Linked DNA regions of Caenorhabditis elegans. The protein of the gene in region 1 interacts with the protein of each later gene in a pairwise test. Each region holds a gene or a part of one and is shown in the gene's direction. Other genes may lie near its edges.

Evidence for each region.
Region 2: the proteins of par-6 (region 1) and unc-95 interact in binary tests that used the Caenorhabditis elegans proteins (3 or more experiments, as listed by UniProt).
Region 3: the proteins of par-6 (region 1) and dnc-2 interact in a two-hybrid assay, tested with the Caenorhabditis elegans proteins (3 studies listed by BioGRID, with this or other methods).

Annotation. Positions count from the first base shown.
Region 1 is NC_003279.8:12,667,812-12,674,995, forward strand, and holds par-6 (Partitioning defective protein 6), read left to right. Parts: upstream 1-1,568; 5' UTR 1,569-1,646; intron 1,647-1,814; coding exon 1,815-1,948; intron 1,949-2,480; coding exon 2,481-2,574; intron 2,575-3,504; coding exon 3,505-3,696; intron 3,697-4,443; exon of another isoform or gene 4,444-4,509; intron 4,510-4,545; coding exon 4,546-4,643; intron 4,644-4,712; coding exon 4,713-4,833; intron 4,834-4,883; coding exon 4,884-4,977; intron 4,978-6,037; coding exon 6,038-6,234; 3' UTR 6,235-6,636; downstream 6,637-7,184. Other genes in the region: T26E3.4 (RWD domain-containing protein), read left to right, coding at 50-153, 867-923. UniProt on the Caenorhabditis elegans protein: Necessary for apicobasal and anterior-posterior asymmetries associated with cell adhesion and gastrulation during the first few cell cycles of embryogenesis. Required for localizing/ maintaining par-3 at the cell periphery.
Region 2 is NC_003279.8:14,380,824-14,386,699, reverse strand, and holds unc-95 (LIM domain-containing protein unc-95), read left to right. Parts: upstream 1-1,962; coding exon 1,963-2,185; intron 2,186-3,313; exon of another isoform or gene 3,314-3,401; intron 3,402-3,655; coding exon 3,656-3,744; intron 3,745-3,794; coding exon 3,795-3,942; intron 3,943-4,602; coding exon 4,603-4,791; intron 4,792-4,841; coding exon 4,842-5,245; 3' UTR 5,246-5,340; downstream 5,341-5,876. UniProt on the Caenorhabditis elegans protein: Required for the assembly and integrity of muscle dense bodies, which establish the adhesion sites of the muscle cells to the extracellular matrix.
Region 3 is NC_003281.10:5,923,858-5,927,422, reverse strand, and holds dnc-2 (putative dynactin subunit 2), read left to right. Parts: upstream 1-1,668; 5' UTR 1,669-1,691; coding exon 1,692-1,799; intron 1,800-1,856; coding exon 1,857-1,923; intron 1,924-1,968; coding exon 1,969-2,383; intron 2,384-2,433; coding exon 2,434-2,761; intron 2,762-2,817; coding exon 2,818-2,895; 3' UTR 2,896-3,025; downstream 3,026-3,565. Other genes in the region: zmp-1 (Matrix metalloproteinase-A), read left to right, coding at 43-397; bcl-7 (BCL7-like protein), read right to left, coding at 628-911, 1,134-1,224, 1,272-1,337; C28H8.2 (uncharacterized protein), read right to left, coding at 3,026-3,079, 3,125-3,493.

The DNA of each region.
Region 1 (7,184 bases):
TTCCGTCTGAAAATCGCTGAAAATTTCAAAAAAAACCAATATTTTCCAGGACGTCAACTATTCCTTCGTGACGCTACACTCAATCTCTCTGACGTCACACTTATTGGAGCACAAGATGAAGTCGAAATTGATGAGAGCCTCTTTGATAATGAGGTTTCTGGAAAAAACCACTGAAAAATCGATTTTTTACTGAAAATTTACGATTTTCTATTAAAAAATTGCATGAAAAACATGCAAATTCATTGGAAATTGTCGATTTTCGAGTTTTTTTCGGTGAAAATCCGAAAATTTTTTTTTCTTTTTTGAAACGTTCCCTTTTAAAACCTGGAAAAATGTAAAAATTCGCTAAAATCCCCATTTTTTCACTGAAAAATTAGACATTTTTTACTCAAAATTTATTTTTCCATGGAAAACTCTGTTTTTGAGCTAAAAAAAATGCAAAAAATCTGGATTTTTCCGAAGAAAAAGCTTCAAAATTTACAAAATTTGGCATTTTTGGCTGAAAATTCACGATTTTCCACTTTAAAAGTGAATTTTTTGTGATAAACTTCATATTTTCTATCAAAAAATTGAAATTTTCTCACTAAAATTCCGATTTTCTATGGAAAAAACGCCAAAATTCCCACATTTTTCAGTGAAAAGCTACTTGAAAACGCGAAAAATTGCAATTTTATTCCAAAAATTGTTCGAAATTTCGAGTTTTTCTCATAAAATTGATTAATTTCAAGATGAAAATTCGATTTTACTGCCTAAAATGATCAAATTTTCCGATTTTCAACATAAAAAACCTCCAAAAATCCCATTTTTTAGCCTAAAAAACCCCAAAAAATCTCAAATTTCCACTCAAAAAAACCCATTTTTTCCAGGAACTCGAAGGTCTTGAAATGGATTCCGAAGAAGAAGAAGAAGACGATGAAGAATAGGATTTCCCCTCAATTTATTGCATTTTTCTGTGATTTTTCGCCATTTTTTCGGCGAAAAATCCCGTAATTTATCCATTTTTTTGCCCCCCAGTTTTTGTTGATTTTCACGGTTTTTCGTTTCAATTTTTTCCATTTTTTTGCGTAAAGATTTGTTTTAGTTTTAACCTTTTTTTTTGAATTTTTCGCTGTTTTTATCAGCTTTTTTATCGATTTTTTATTGAAAATTTTTGGCGATGAGTCATCAGTTTTTATCAAACTTTTTTGGAGAGTTTTGTGACTCATTTTTACTCAATTTTCAGCGGAAATTTGGTGTTTTGAAGGTTTTTTTTGTAAAAATCGCAAAAAATGCGATTTTTAGCTTGAAATTTCATTTTCCGCTAGAAAAATGTTCAAAATTGCCATTTTTTGGAATTTTTATTCAATTTTTCTACTCAAATTTCCTAAAAATGTCTATTTTCCAACTCAAATTCAGTTTTTTTTTCCGTTGAAAACTGTTCAAAACTCTAACTTTTAAATTAAAATTCAATTTTTTCCATTGAATAATTATTTAAAATCCGATTTTTGATTAATAAATTCAAAAATTATTCACTTAATAATTTTTTCACTTAAAAAAGGTTCAAAAATGTGAAAAAATCCAATTTTCAGCCGAAAAAATCGATATTTCCCACGAAAATTGTGCATTATTTCCGGCTCAACGCGGAGCTGCACCTGTAACTTGTAATTGTGAGTTTTAATTTGCGAAAATCATAATTTTTCAGCTTAAAAGTATGGAAAACGTCGAAAAATGCGATTTTTCTACTCAAAAAAAGCCGGAATTTCCAATTTTCCAGCTGAAAACTGTTAAAAATCGCGTTTTTCAGCTCAAAAAACCCGAAAAATCCAAATTTTCAGATGTCCTACAACGGCTCCTACCATCAAAATCATCATTCAACACTTCAAGTCAAATCGAAATTTGATTCTGAATGGCGTCGTTTCTCAATACCAATGCATTCTGCGTCTGGTGTCTCTTACGATGGGTTCCGGAGGTGATTTTTGGCCATTTTTAGCCGAAAAATCGAAAAATTCAGCGTTTTTTTTTTACCTAAAATACGTCAAAACCCATGTTTTTGACGTAGAAAAACGTTAAAAATTGATTTCTCTACCCAAAAGTTACTGAAATTGTCATTTTTAGGCATAAAATCCCTTAAAATTCAGAAAATCGGATTTTCAACGATTTTCAGCTGAAAAATCCAAGGATTCGGCGTTTTTTGTCCTAAAATACGCGGAAAATGATTTTTTTTACTTGAAAAAATCAGATTTTTTCCGATTTTTACCTTGAAAACCCTAAAAAATCTATTTTCCAAACCAAACTTGGCCAAAATCGGCATTTTTAGGGCTAAAATCATGCGTAAATCGAATTTTCGCCATTTTCAGCCGGAAAATCGAAAAATTCGTCTTTTTTTTTGTGTTTTTTTTTACCAAAAACGAGCGGAAAATGATATTTTACCTGAAAACTCGATTTTTGAAGCAATTTTCCCGTAAAAGTTCAATTTTTCAAGTAAAAATCGATATTTTCAGCCTTGTCGAGAAGCTTCATCACCTGGAAAGTGTCCAATTCACACTGTGCTACAACTCGACTGGCGGTGATCTTCTACCAATCACAAATGACGATGTTAGTAGCGGAAAACTGAAGAAAATTGATTTTTTCAGTGAAAAAAAAAACGAAAAAATCGAGTAAAAATGACATAAAATTGATATTTTTCACTAAAAAATGCTAAAAATTCAATTAAAATGTCTCGAAAATTGATTTTTTCAGCTTAAAGTTAGTCAAAATCGATTTTTAAAACAGCTCAAAAATCGTTAAAAAATAAAAATAATAATAATAAAAAAATCGATTTAATATTCGGGTGTCTCCTACGAGGACAAAAAATCGATCGATTTGAAAACTCACAGAAAAGTCGAAAAAAATCACAAAAAATCAATTAAAAATTGATTTAAAAACTCAAAAAATCGATAAAAATCTCAAAAAAAAATCGATAAAAATCGATAAAAAGTCTATAAAAATCTGAATGTTAGTAGGGAAAACTGAAGAAAATTGATTTTTTCGGTGAAAAAATCGAGAAAAATCGAGTAAAAATGACCTAAAATTGATATTTTTCACTAAAAAATGCTGAAAATTACTAAAACATCACTTATCGATAAAAATCACAAAATTTCGCTAAAAAATCACTAAACATCTTAAAAAATCGATAAAAAGTCCTAAACTACAAAAAATTGATTTAAAAAAATCGAAAAAAGTCTCAAAAAATTGAAACAAAAATCACAAAAATTCGGTGAAAAATCCCCAAAAAATCAATAAAAATCACAAAAAGAATCGATAAAAAATTACAAAAAAACTCAAAAATCGCTTTAAAAAATCAATACAAAACCCCAAGAAATCGGAAAAAATCGATAAAAAATCGATAAAAATCTGTTGAAAAATCACAAAAATTCGGTAAAAAATCCCCAAAAAATCAATAAAAATCACAAAAAGAATCGATAAATTCCTAGAAAAATCCCAAAAATCGATAAAATCCCAAAACTACCATTATTTTTTTTGCAGAACCTCCGAAAATCGTTCGAATCGGCTCGCCCACTGCTCCGTTTGCTCATTCAACGCCGCGGTGAATCATGGGAAGAGAAATATGGTTATGGTACAGACTCTGATAAACGATGGAAGGGAATTTCATCACTTATGGCACAAAAACCACCGAAACGCAGTTATTCAATCTCGAATCCCGAAGATTTTCGACAGGTAATGGGTCTCACAGCGAAAAAAGTGGAATTTTTGAATTCAGCTCGCTGAGAGCTTCGAAATAAGTATAATCATGACCGGGTTACGATGGATTTGAAAAAAGTTGGGTCTCGCCACGAAAAATCGAAACCACAGTAATCCCGTTTCGTGATGGGACCCAAAAATTTCAAATTTCGCAGAACCTAGTCATGATTATACTTATTTGAAAGCTATTGATGAGTTGAATTCAAATTCCGGAAAAAATTTTGAAAATTTCAATTTTTGGTCCCACCACGAAGGAAATTTTCGCTGCGGGACCCAAAATTTTGGAAATCTTCAAATTTTCCGGAGCCCAGTCATGATTATACTTATTTGAAAGCTCTCGGTGAGCTGAATTCGGTTGAACTCATGAAATTGCAAAAATCTGGTCCCGCCACGAAAGTGCCAACCTACAGTAACCCCAATTTCGCGGTGGGACCCGCATATTTCAAAGTTAACGGAACCCATGATTATACTAGTTTTAAAGCTGACAGTGCTCCCAATTCAAAAATATTGATAAAAATCTCAAAAATTGGATCCCACCACCACGAAAATGCCAACATACAGTAATCCCATTTTCGTGGCGAGACCAACAATTTTCAAAGTTCGCGGAACCTAGTCATTCCATTATACTTGTTTGAAAGCTCCCAGTGAGCTGAATTCAGATTTCGCAGTAATTTTCTAAAATTTCGTCACTTTTCGTGGCGGGACCCAAATTTTAGGAGAATTTTCAAAATTGGCAAAACCTAGTCATGATTATACTTATTTTGAAGCCCTTAACGAGCTGAATTCAAATTTCCCATTAATTTTTAAAAATTTTCAATTTTGCAGGTCTCTGCAATCATCGACGTGGACATTGTGCCAGAAGCTCATCGCCGTGTCCGTCTCTGCAAGCACGGACAAGAACGACCACTTGGATTCTATATTCGGTATCGATTTTTCTGGAAATTTCAGATTTCTTGCCAGAAAATCCCAAAAATCTGCAATTCTTTTTTCAGTGACGGAACATCGGTTCGAGTGACAGAACGAGGCGTCGTCAAAGTTTCAGGAATTTTCATTTCCCGGCTTGTCGATGGTGGGCTCGCCGAGTCCACAGGCCTTCTTGGTGTTAATGACGAGGTTTTTAATGGAATTTTCAGAGTTTTTAATCTAAAAATTCCGGTTTTCAGGTGCTCGAGGTGAATGGAATTGAGGTTCTCGGAAAGACGCTGGATCAGGTCACTGATATGATGGTCGCCAATGCTCATAACTTGATTATTACTGGTATATAATCCGGAAATTTGAATTCAGCACGCCGAGAGCTTTGAAATAAGTATAATCATGACTAGGTTAAGATTATTTTGAAAAAAATTGGGTCTCACCGCGAAAATTGCGAGAACCCACTTTTTAAAAAATTTCATTAGAAAATTTGAATTCAGCACACCGAGAGCTTTCAAATGCGTATAATCATGGCTATATTCTGTCAAACTTGGAAAATTCGGGTCTCGCCAAGAAAATGATAAACTACAGTAACCCATTTTCGCGATGGGACCCAAAATTTTCGCATGTGACGCAATCTTGTCGTGTTTATACTTATTTGAAAGCCCTTGATGAGCTGAAAACGAATTTACTAAAAAATTTGAGAAGTTTCAATTTTTGGGCCCGACCACGAAACTGATTTTCGCGATGAGACCCAAAATTTTGGAAAAAATTAGATTTTCGCCAAACCTAGTCATTATTATACTAGTTTTGAAGCTCTTGGTAAGATGAAATCGAAAAATCTAATTGAAATAGCGAAAATTGGGTATCACCACGAAAATCGCTGCCTACAGTAACCCAGTTTTCGTGGTGGGGTCCGAAAATTTAAAATTTCGCATAACCTAGTCTTGATTATGTTTATTTTAAAGCTCTAGGCGAGCGGAAGTTGAATTATTTAACAAAAATCTAAAATTTCAATTTTGGGGCACGACCACGAAATTGGCTTTCGCGGTGGGACCCAACATTTTGGAAAATTTTAAATGTCCGCCAACCTAGTCATAATTATACTTATTTGAAAGCTCGGTAAGCTGAAATCGAAAAATCTAAATGAAATCGCGAAAACTGGGTCCCCCACTAAAATCCCAACCTACAGTAACCCAGTTTTCGTGGCGGGACCCAAAATTTCGGAAAATGTTCAAAATAAACATAGCCTAGTCATGATTATACTTGTTTGGAAGCTCTCAGCGAGCTGATTTTAAATTCTGTAGTAATTATAAAAAACAAAATTTTCAGAAATTTTTTTTCGAAAAAAAAATTTCAAATTTATTTTTTTTTTGAAAATTCAAAAAATCCCAATATTTTCCAGTAAAACCTGCCAACCAACGAAACACACTGTCACGAGGACCGTCACAACAAGGAACACCGAACGCCAGTGAGATGTCGGCCGCCACCGCAGCCGCTACAGGTGGAATTCAGCGCCCGATGAAAATGAACGGAAGCTCCGACGGCAGTTATCATCCGAAACAGCACGACGCAAATGATTCGGACAGTGGAGAGGACTGAAAAACTCTTTTCAGCCATTTTTCCTCGATTTTTTCAGAAAAAAAAACCACAAAATGTGACCATTTTTATACATAATTATATTATTTATATTCTCGCTAAAACCACACACACACACAACCAAAACCGCTTAATTTATTTATTTTCCCCTTTTTCTCCTAATTTTTAATCAAATTTGTCGGCTTTCTCTTCACTTTTTTGCGCACAATTTTCACTTTTATTTCCCCCGTTTCTCGCCCCAAAATGTGCCTTCCTTTCGCCCTTTTTATGTGATTTTTCCCCTTCAGAGCTCTCTGAGCCCATACTTTTTTTTTCGAACTTTGGCTCAAATTTTTTGACAACAGACACGACATACAATTTTTCCCCTGAAATTCACATTATTAGTGAGAATAAATTATTTATTTCAAGCTTTGAGAGATCAGCATTGTGAAAAAAATGTTGCCATTACGGGGACTCGAACCATGGCCTTTTGACTGGAAGCTTTTTCGTCGAAAATCCCACTGCTCCATTTGGACATTTTTGACAATTTCCCAGAAATGACATAATTTCGGGTAAATTTGAATTTTATTGAGTTCTTGACGATTTAAGGCTTTAAAAACTGAGAAAATCTACATTTTCAGCCGATATTCCGCTGATTATTCTCAAATTCTTATTTTTCAAGGTTTTTCTCTGCTGTTTAGGAATTGATATTATAATTTTTGGGTTGAGAATTGAAAGTTTAGCCTAACAACACTATGGAAAAAAGTTTGCCACAGTGGAGACTCGAACCACGGTCCTTTGACTGGAAGCTTTTTCGTCGAAAATCCCACTGCGCCATTTGTACAGCATTTTTGAAAAGTGCCCAGTAATGAAAAGTCTGTAATAAAATGTTACCTTTGAGTGATTTTTTGATGATTTAATGTTATAAAATCTGTGCAAATCTGAAGTTTCAGTTGATTTCCTACAAGAATGAG
Region 2 (5,876 bases), 1.7 Mb from region 1:
GAAAAATTCGGGAAACTTGGCCAACCGGAATATTGCCGAAAATAAAAATTTCCGGCAAGTCGGACAAACCGGCAATTTGCCGGAATTGAACATTTTCGACAACTCGGCAAATTCCGAAATTGAAACTGTCCGGCAAATCGGCAAACCAGCAATTTGCTGAAATTGAAAAATTCGGGAAACTTGGCAAACCGGAATATTGCCGAAAATAAAAATTTCCGGCAAGTCGGACAAACCGGCAATTTGCCGGAATTGAACATTTTCGACAACTCGGCAAATTCCGAAATTGAAACTGTCCGGCAAATCGGCAAACCAGCAATTTGCTGAAATTGAAAAATTCGGGAAACTTGGCAAACCGGAATATTGCCGAAAATAAAAATTTCCGGCAAGTCGGACAAACCGGCAATTTGCCGGAATTGAACATTTTCGACAACTCGGCAAATTCCGAAATTGAAACTGTCCGGCAAATCGGCAAACCAGCAATTTGCTGAAATTGAAAAATTCGGGAAACTTGGCAAACCGGAATATTGCCGAAAATAAAAATTTCCGGCAAGTCGGACAAACCGGCAAATTGCCGGAATTGAACATTTTCGACAACTCGGCAAATTCCGAAATTGAAACTGTCCGGCAAATCGGCAAACCAGCAATTTGCTGAAATTGAAAATTTTCGACAAATCGGCAAACTGCCGGAATTGAAAATTTCCGGCAACTCGGCAAACCGGCAATTTGCCAAAAATGAAAAATTCTGGAAACTTGGCAAACCGGAAAATTGCCGAAAATAAAAATTTCCGGCAAGTCGGACAAACCCGCAAATTGCCGGAATTGAAAATTTCCGGCAAACCGGCAAATTCCGAAATTGAAATTGTCCGGCAACTCGGCAAACCGAAAATTTGCCGATTTGCCCAGTTTTTTTTGCTATTACCGCCCACCCCTGAGCTATATACAAATGTTGTTTTAAAAAATTTATAAGACCGTGTAACAAATTGCTTGTCAGTTGGCAGTTTTTGGGGATTTTGTCTAAATACACTTATATCATAAGAAAAAAAATCCAAAAAATCCAAACATATCATAATAAAGCACTCCAAAATTTTTTAGATTTTCCATAATTTCCGGTCAAAGTTTTGGCACATTGCCAAAATTTTGAAAACTACGAGATTTTGAGGAAATTTATAAAAATGTCGCATGTTTCGACCCCTACAATGTTTTAATTCAAATAATTTAAACAAAATTGTATTAAAAAGTATTAAAAAAATTGGAAATTTTTTTTTTTTTTTTTGAATCAATCGACCTCCAAAATAATGAGTGGCAAAACTGAGTAATCACTACAGTCACTACTTTTTGACAGTAAATAAAAAATTTTCAAAAATTTTTTGAAAAGTTTTATCATGATATTTGGTCATTTTTGGACCAAAGGAGTGGTTTTTAATAATTTCCCCACTGGCGCTACTCCACCTTTAATTACCGTATAGTATACGTGCATAGTATTATGGTACTAGTTAATACCCTAACTCACGGTAACAAATTCAAAAAAAAAAGAGCAAAAAATTCAAATAATTTCAACAAATCGATCTTTGTAGACTCCTCGATCTTCGTCTCTATCTCTCATTCCTCATTGTCTTCTCCTCACCATCATCTGCCGGGCAGATTCTGCCCCCGCAGTAGCCTGCTCTCTTCTGCCGGTGAGAGCATATGTTGTAATATATTTCTGTTGCTGCTTCTTGCTTTCCTCTCCCTTCATACACATCAGTGTACCACTGCTGTGTCGATTTTCCTCTACGTTTTCCTTTACACGAATTTGAACTAACACGATTTTTTTCTTTATTTGTTGTATTATACTTTTTTATTTAGACACCTAGAATTTAGGTGCACACTAGTTAAATATTGAAAATGCCATTATTAACCTCTTACTCAGTCTCACAGAAAAACCCAAAAATGTTCACCTCCTCCTCCTACTCAAAATTCCAGATGACTATATCCCCTCAACCCAGCCATCAACAATTCGAATCTTATCAATGGACTACGGAATCTCGTAGTAGTCAACAGAGACATGGCACCGGGACCCCGTCTCAGGATGGTCGGCTCTCTGCGATTCCGGATCCTGTGGAGCGCCACGTGGCCCGGTGGCGTAGTGAGAGCAGGAATTCCAATAAGGATAAGGTGTTCCGTAATGATGAGGAGTTTAGTCAACGTGAGTCGAAGTTAGGGGGTCCTCTGGGGGGGGGGGGGGGGGGTATGTTAAACTAATGGGAAATGTTAAACTAAAGAATTGAGGTGTAATACTCAATTAACTTTGAAAATAACAAAATTTTGTGTTAACTATACTAGAATGTCAAAATTAACAGAAAATGATTGGATTTTACCCAAAAATGGTCCAATTTTGACTGAAAACAGTCGGATTTAGACCAAAAATTGTCCAAAATTCGCCCAAAAATCTATCATTTTTGGTTTAAAAAGGTCGGATTTTGACCGAAAATAGTCCAGTTTTGATTGAAAATAGACCAATTTTAACCAAAAAATGGTTTCATTTCGATCACAAATTATCTAATTTTGACCAAACAATTGTTATGTTTTTACCAATAAATGGTTTGAATTTGACCAAAATGGTCCAATTTTGACTGAAAACAGTCGGATTTAGACCAAAAATTGTCCAAAATTCGCCCAAAAATCTATCATTTTTGGCTTAAAAAGGTCGGATTTTGACCGAAAATAGTCCAGTTTTGATTGAAAATAGTCCAATTTTAACCAAAAAAATGGTTTCATTCCGATCACAAATTATCTAATTTTGACCAAACAATTGTTATGTTTTTACCAATAAATGGTTTGAATTTGACCAAAATGGTCCAATTTTGACCAAAAATTTACCGATTTTTAACAAAAAAAAGCCGGATTTGAACTAAAAATTGACCGATTTTAACCAAAAATTGACCGATTTTAACCAAAAATTGACCGATTTTAACCAAAAATTGACCGATTTTCACCAAAAATTGTCTGATTTTGACCAAAAATTGACCGATTTTCTCCAAAAATTATCTGATTTTGACCAAAAAGTAGTCCGATTTTGACAAAAATTGCACGTTTTTGACCAATTTTGACTGAAAACAGTCGGATTTAGACCAAAAATTGTCCAAAATTCGCCCAAAAATCTATCATTTTTGGCTTAAAAAGGTCGGATTTTGACCGAAAATAGTCCAGTTTTGATTGAAAATAGTCCAATTCCGATTTTGATCAGAAAAGTTGGATTTTGACCAAAAATTGTACGATTTGGATCAAAAACGGTCCCTATTAATTTGCTAGTTTTGAGCAGTTAAGCATTAGGTTTAGGCTTAGGCTTAGGCTTTGACTTCGGTTTAGGCTTAGGCTTAGGCTTTGACTTCGGATTAGGCTCAGGCTTAGGCTTAGGCTTAATTTCTATACCTAATTTTCTTATTTCCGTGCCATTTTTTAGCTAGACCTTCCCACAGGAATTTCGGATTTTCAGCTAAATTTTGATTCTCAACATCAGATTTTATTCAAAATTTGCTTATAAAAGAGTCATTTCCAACTTTCTTATGCAGCCGTTTTTTAAGGAAATACCCAAAAAAAAAGTGGTGCACATTTTTAAGCAACAAACCTCTCAGATCATCAAAATCTCTCTGTCTCTATCCCTTACATTTTGCAGAAGACGAGATCGTTAATGGAACACTTACCGCGTTGAAAAACGATGTCGAGCAGACGACCGAGATCATTCGTCGCAAACAAGAACAGATGGTATCGATTTTTTCAGATCTTGTGCGGGAATACATTGAAATTTGTTTCAGAGAATGGAACGTCGTCAATTCCAAACCGAGATGGAAGTCAATGGTAGAATCTCGATTGATCCGACCGACGATTGGCTGGCCGCAAGGTTGAAAGCTGTTAGCTCGGATGACATGAATCAGCAGCTTGTCAAGCTGAAACAGGATCAGAGTAAGATCTCGTTAGAACCCTTAATAGGTTCAGATCGCATCTATAATCTGCTACATAATTCTTTCTAGGCTTTAGGGCACATCTAGATTCCAGCTAGGTCTATCCATAGCATTCGATCATATTTAGACTCCGTATTATGCTTCAGACATTATCCAAAGCCTATGCTAGGCCTCAGACTCCACCTAGACCCCATGTAAGCTTCAGAAGCCATTTTAGCTTCAGTCCCGTCAAGGCCCTTCCTAAGCATCAGATCCAACATATGCCCTATCCTAAGCATCAGAACCACTTCTCCCCCATTCTGAGCCTTTGACTCATTTAGACGTTGTCCTTGGCTTCAGGCCCCTCTAGACCATATTCTGAGCTCTAGATTCCAGCTAGGTCTATCCAAAACCTTCGATCTTACCTAGGCTCCGTATTATGCTTCAGTCCTCATTCAAGTCCTATCCTAAGCCCCTGATCCCATCTAGGCCCCATATCAAGCTTCAGGCCCCTCTATGCCCTTCCTAAGCATCAGATCTCATATAGACCCTCCCTAACCCTTTCTAAGCTTCAAGCCTAATTCAGACCTTACCTAGACCTCCAACAATAGCTTTAGGGCCCAACTGGACCTCCTCCCCCAGCTTCAGGTCTGTTCTTAACTTTCACCGAATCCATTTTCAGGACAAAACGCGGTGACCGACACATTGGCGGCCCTTGTTTACGATGTCAACGCCACGACTGAAGTTTTGCGTCGTGGACAACGTGGACGTGACGGTGAAGATGGAAATAAGAAGAAGAAGGAGGAAATCGAGTACACCTTGAGACTTACACCGGCACCAGAGGAACAAATCCCGCAGAGGCCAAAGATTCGTGAGTTTTCAGAACTTGGACCAAAAAATGTAGAATTCGAAAAATTCCAGCAGAGGACGACAATATGGAGACAGACGACTACTCCCGCCAATACGGAGTCCAAATGTCCGAGGAGACCGATAGCCTGCGCCGCCGCCGCGCCCGAAGCACAACTCCCCGCCGAACGCTCCACATCTCCGGCTCCCCACCGCCACCGGCCGCCGCAGTCTGCGCTTACTGCAGTGAAGAAATCGACGGCGCGATTCTGACAGCGTTGGCGCCAAACTCGGAACGGGCACAGAAATTCCATACCTATCATTTCATGTGCACATATTGTCAGAAGGCACTCAACATGCATGGAACCTACAGAGAACATGATCTGAAGCCATATTGTCATGATTGCTTCTACAAGTTGTATAATGGATTGCAATACGCTCCGGATGATCATCAAGCTTCCATTGAGAAACTCATTTAAATCACTACACATTTTGTTTAGTAATGATATATATGTGTGTTTATCTGTTATCTTGCAAAATATACACGAATTATGAAAAAAATCCTAATAATAATCAAAGATTTTCTTAAATTCAGATTCATGTGTGTGAAATAATGGGGAAAACCATCAAAATTCATTGAATTCTTGCAAACTATGTGTTAAAATAGTAAAGGTTATAGTTCTCTTAACTGATCTGAACTATGTGGAAAATTGAGCTAGGCACTCTAAAGCGAGCAAGCGTATTTTAAATACCTACTATGTCGATATTGAAACATATGTATAGCTTATATTAAATACCAATAGCAATGTTAAAAACTTATAGCGTATATTAAAATTCATAACGATATTAAAGATCTATGGCGTATATTATGAACCTATGGGGGTATTTAGAACTTACAGTGTATATTAAATACTTATGTATAGCGTATATTAAAGAACTATAGCAAATATAAATACCTATAGTGTATATTAAAAACCTATAGCGAATATAAAATACCTAAAGTGTATATTAAGAACCTATAGCGTATATTAAAATTTATAACGATATTAAAGACCTACAGCAGTGTATATTAAATACTTATGTAAAGCGTATATTAAAGACCTATAGCAA
Region 3 (3,565 bases), on another chromosome or scaffold:
AGGACCACAACTTAATAAAATCAAATATAATTTCCATTTCAGTCCGCCTGCTGTATACATTTGGAAAGGATCTCGATATTGGAAATTAGACGAGAAAATGTATCATCGAAGAGTTGATGAAAGGTATCCAAAAGATACTGATCTGAATTGGGCGAGAGTTCCAAAAGGAGTACATTCTGCCTTCACTTATGAAAAAGAAATTCATCTTCTACGTGGAAATCAAGTTTTTCGAATGAATTCATCCCGATCTGTATTTGATATTGCTGATGGATATCCCCAACCTTTACAATCTTTTTTCGGATTCTGCCCTCGCAATGAGAAGCTTGTTCTGAATTCTTCTTCTTCACATTTTTCTTTGATCTATGCAACAATTACTATTTTGATACTCATCTTTTAAGATTTAAATCTCTCAATGGCAGATTCACTTGTAAAAACAGCACTGAAATGGGTTTTATTTAAAGTTTTAACTTGTTATTTTAACTGGTGAATACAAAAAATTATTAAAAATAAATGTGATGAAACATGAAAATTTTTGAATTAATGAGATAAAGTTCGGAATGAATCAGGATTATATGATACAACATGAAATCAAAATGAGTACAGATTAGAGATCATTAGATAAAGATTTTATGGTTGTTTTGATGTCATTTCAGCGTCGCGCATCGAACTGAAATCCGTTGAACCAGTGGCTCCACCTTGATAGTTTTGTGGCTCGAAAGTTTGATTGGAGTCACTATCAAAGTGATCGCCAGTGGAAAAATTGGAATCTTCGTTGATATCGAATTGTGGTGGTGGTTGGGTAACGCTGGTGGAATCCTGGGAATTCTCAGCAGATGGGACTTGATTGCTCTCCTCATCCACTTCTTTGACTTCCTTGATCTTTGGAGGAGCCATTATGTTTTGAGCGCTCACTGAAAAAGTTGTATTGAAAGTTTGGTTTTTTTTTTGAGAAATTCAAAACTTTTATATAGCAGAATATGTTATTAATTCATAATGCAGAGTCATTGAATTGTATCAAAAATATAAGTGTGAAGTTTTTTTTTTAATAATTACTATTTTAAAAAAGTATTTCATATAAATTTATATATAAATAGTTTCTAAATACCGAAATACGTGTTAAAATAAAAAATTACCCGGAACCCATTTGTAGATCCGAATATTTGTGTCCTTGATAAGAACTAACTTCTTTTCCCACCGACGAACTTTTTCCAATGAGTTGATAACCTGAAAATCTTAATATCAGTTTAGTTTTGGAAAAGTTGATTGTTTACCTTTCGGAGTTCATCTTTTGAGCGATTTCTTGTTTCAGCGCGATGAGATCTATTTGCTGAGTACATCTGAAACTTAAAAATTTAATAAATTTACAGAAAAATAAATAAAAAGAACGAAATACAATAAAACTGTTTAAATTCGAACAATCGAACGTTTTTGCCAAAACTGAACTCTGTCGCCTCTAATCTCTAATACGTGCCGGTAGAGCGCAGTAACTCATTGTTGTGTGTAGTCCTCTCGGACAATCTAATTTACTTGTTTCGCAATCAATTCCACGGCCATTTTGATGTTTCTAGCACGATTTATTACTTTAACCTATCATACATTTTGTTTATTCATTTTTCTAAATTTTTGCCGTTTGATCCTAAATATTTTAAATCAAATTCTGTTTTCTAGAAACTCTCAAATCTTGCGTCAAAATGTCATCTATTGGAAAAGAAGATATCTACGAGTCTGACGGAGCTGCAAGTCAAGTTCAAAAAAGTGAACCTGAAAATGACAATCCAACTCATCCGGATATCGAACTGGTTTGTATTTAATTAATTTAAATAATATAAATATTTAGTGAATTCTGATTTTTACAGATTTCGGTTGACGTTGACGAAGCTCTCAAAAAGTACAAAAACCGGGTACTGAACTTGACTTCAAGCGGTAATTTTAAAATAATATTACTTATCATCTTTTTTTTAAATTTAGATTTTTCTGACTCGATTGCTAAAAAGCGGCGACACGCATTTGGAAACAATCAATACGTATTGGAAGTTACTGGTGCAGGATTTTCGGGAACCGAGACTGCAGCCGAAAAACTGAATCGCATTTTGTACGAAGTCGCCGATCTGAATGAACAAATTCGTGCTGATGAAAATCTTAAAACGGATTTGCTCAACGCTGAGGTTCTTGAGAATCTAGAGAAAGAAGTGAAAACGTTGCAAGTGGCTCAGTCAAATGGAAAAACTGCACGAGTTGAGCATGATGTTGAGTTACCAAATGTTCGCACTGACTCGAAAGTGGCAACTCTTGAAAATAGGTTGAGAAGAATCGAACAAGTTATTGGAAGTTCGGTTATTCCATCAGCTCCCGTACTTGACACCATTGAAGATCTCAAACTCAGGTGAGATATCTTAAATTTAAAAAAATAAAAACGTATGAAAAATGTTTGAGATGCGAAACGCTTAATCATTCGTATGTCTCCGGTCTTGAACAACGTTTGAATATGATGCTTACCAAACTTGAAAAAATCGACGAGACACGCGCCAACAATGATATCGACGAGAATCTTGACAAGAAAGTTGATGAAATTCTGGAGCTTATGCAAAAATGGGATGTCGCTTGCTCATCTCTTCCAAGCAATGTTAATAAGGTTAAAGCATTGAACCGTCTTCACGAACAAGTTCAACACTTTGCCGGTGGACTATCACATTTGAAAACTATCAGAGAAAAACTCGAAAAGGAAGTCGCGCAAGGAAGAGAAGCGATTATCGAGTATGAGGTGTGTTTTTTAATTGTTTCGAGGAATATAAACAAATTAAATTATTGAAATTACAGTCCCAAGGAAAGCAAGAAATCGGGTCAGTGGTTGAAAAGCTGAAGCTTCTCGAGGCAAAAGTGGCAGATTTGAAGTGATTTTATCGACCTTTCTAGAGAAACAATTCATAATTTATTGTGTACGGACAATGCAACATTAACTAATCTGTTCGATATATTTATGTGCTTTATTTTTGCTTTCCATATTTCCGAATGAACCAATCTCTATTCAGCAATTGAAGGCCATACTCAGATAACGAACTCCCCATCCGACATTCTCGTCCTGAAATTTTCATATTTCTAAGTCAGATTTTTCGCGAAAACTCACATTAACCGCTCTGATAATCATATGAAAATGATCTTCGAATCCAAACCAAGATTGTGATGTAACATGGAATTCAACCGTCATATGAGAAGAATCTTTAGTCATTATTGCAAAGATAATACGAATTTCAGGATTGTAATGAGTTCTTGTATATCTATCGAAATATGATTTAAATCTGGCAAAATCCAATTCCTCTTGAATATGACAATCAGTTCCTTTTACTTGATCATCATAATAATTGAAATGCTCAATCATTTCTGTTTTATTTCGGAACATTCGTCGAAAAGTTCCCATGAAATATTGCAAGAAGTGAAAAGCATTTTTAGTTCTCACCATCTTCGGGAACATTGATCGTGGGTCACTGATAAAGTTCTGAAATATTTCGGTTGGTCCCGACATGAAAACTCAAGTCTTGATAAATTTCCACAATCTGCTAAATAAAGA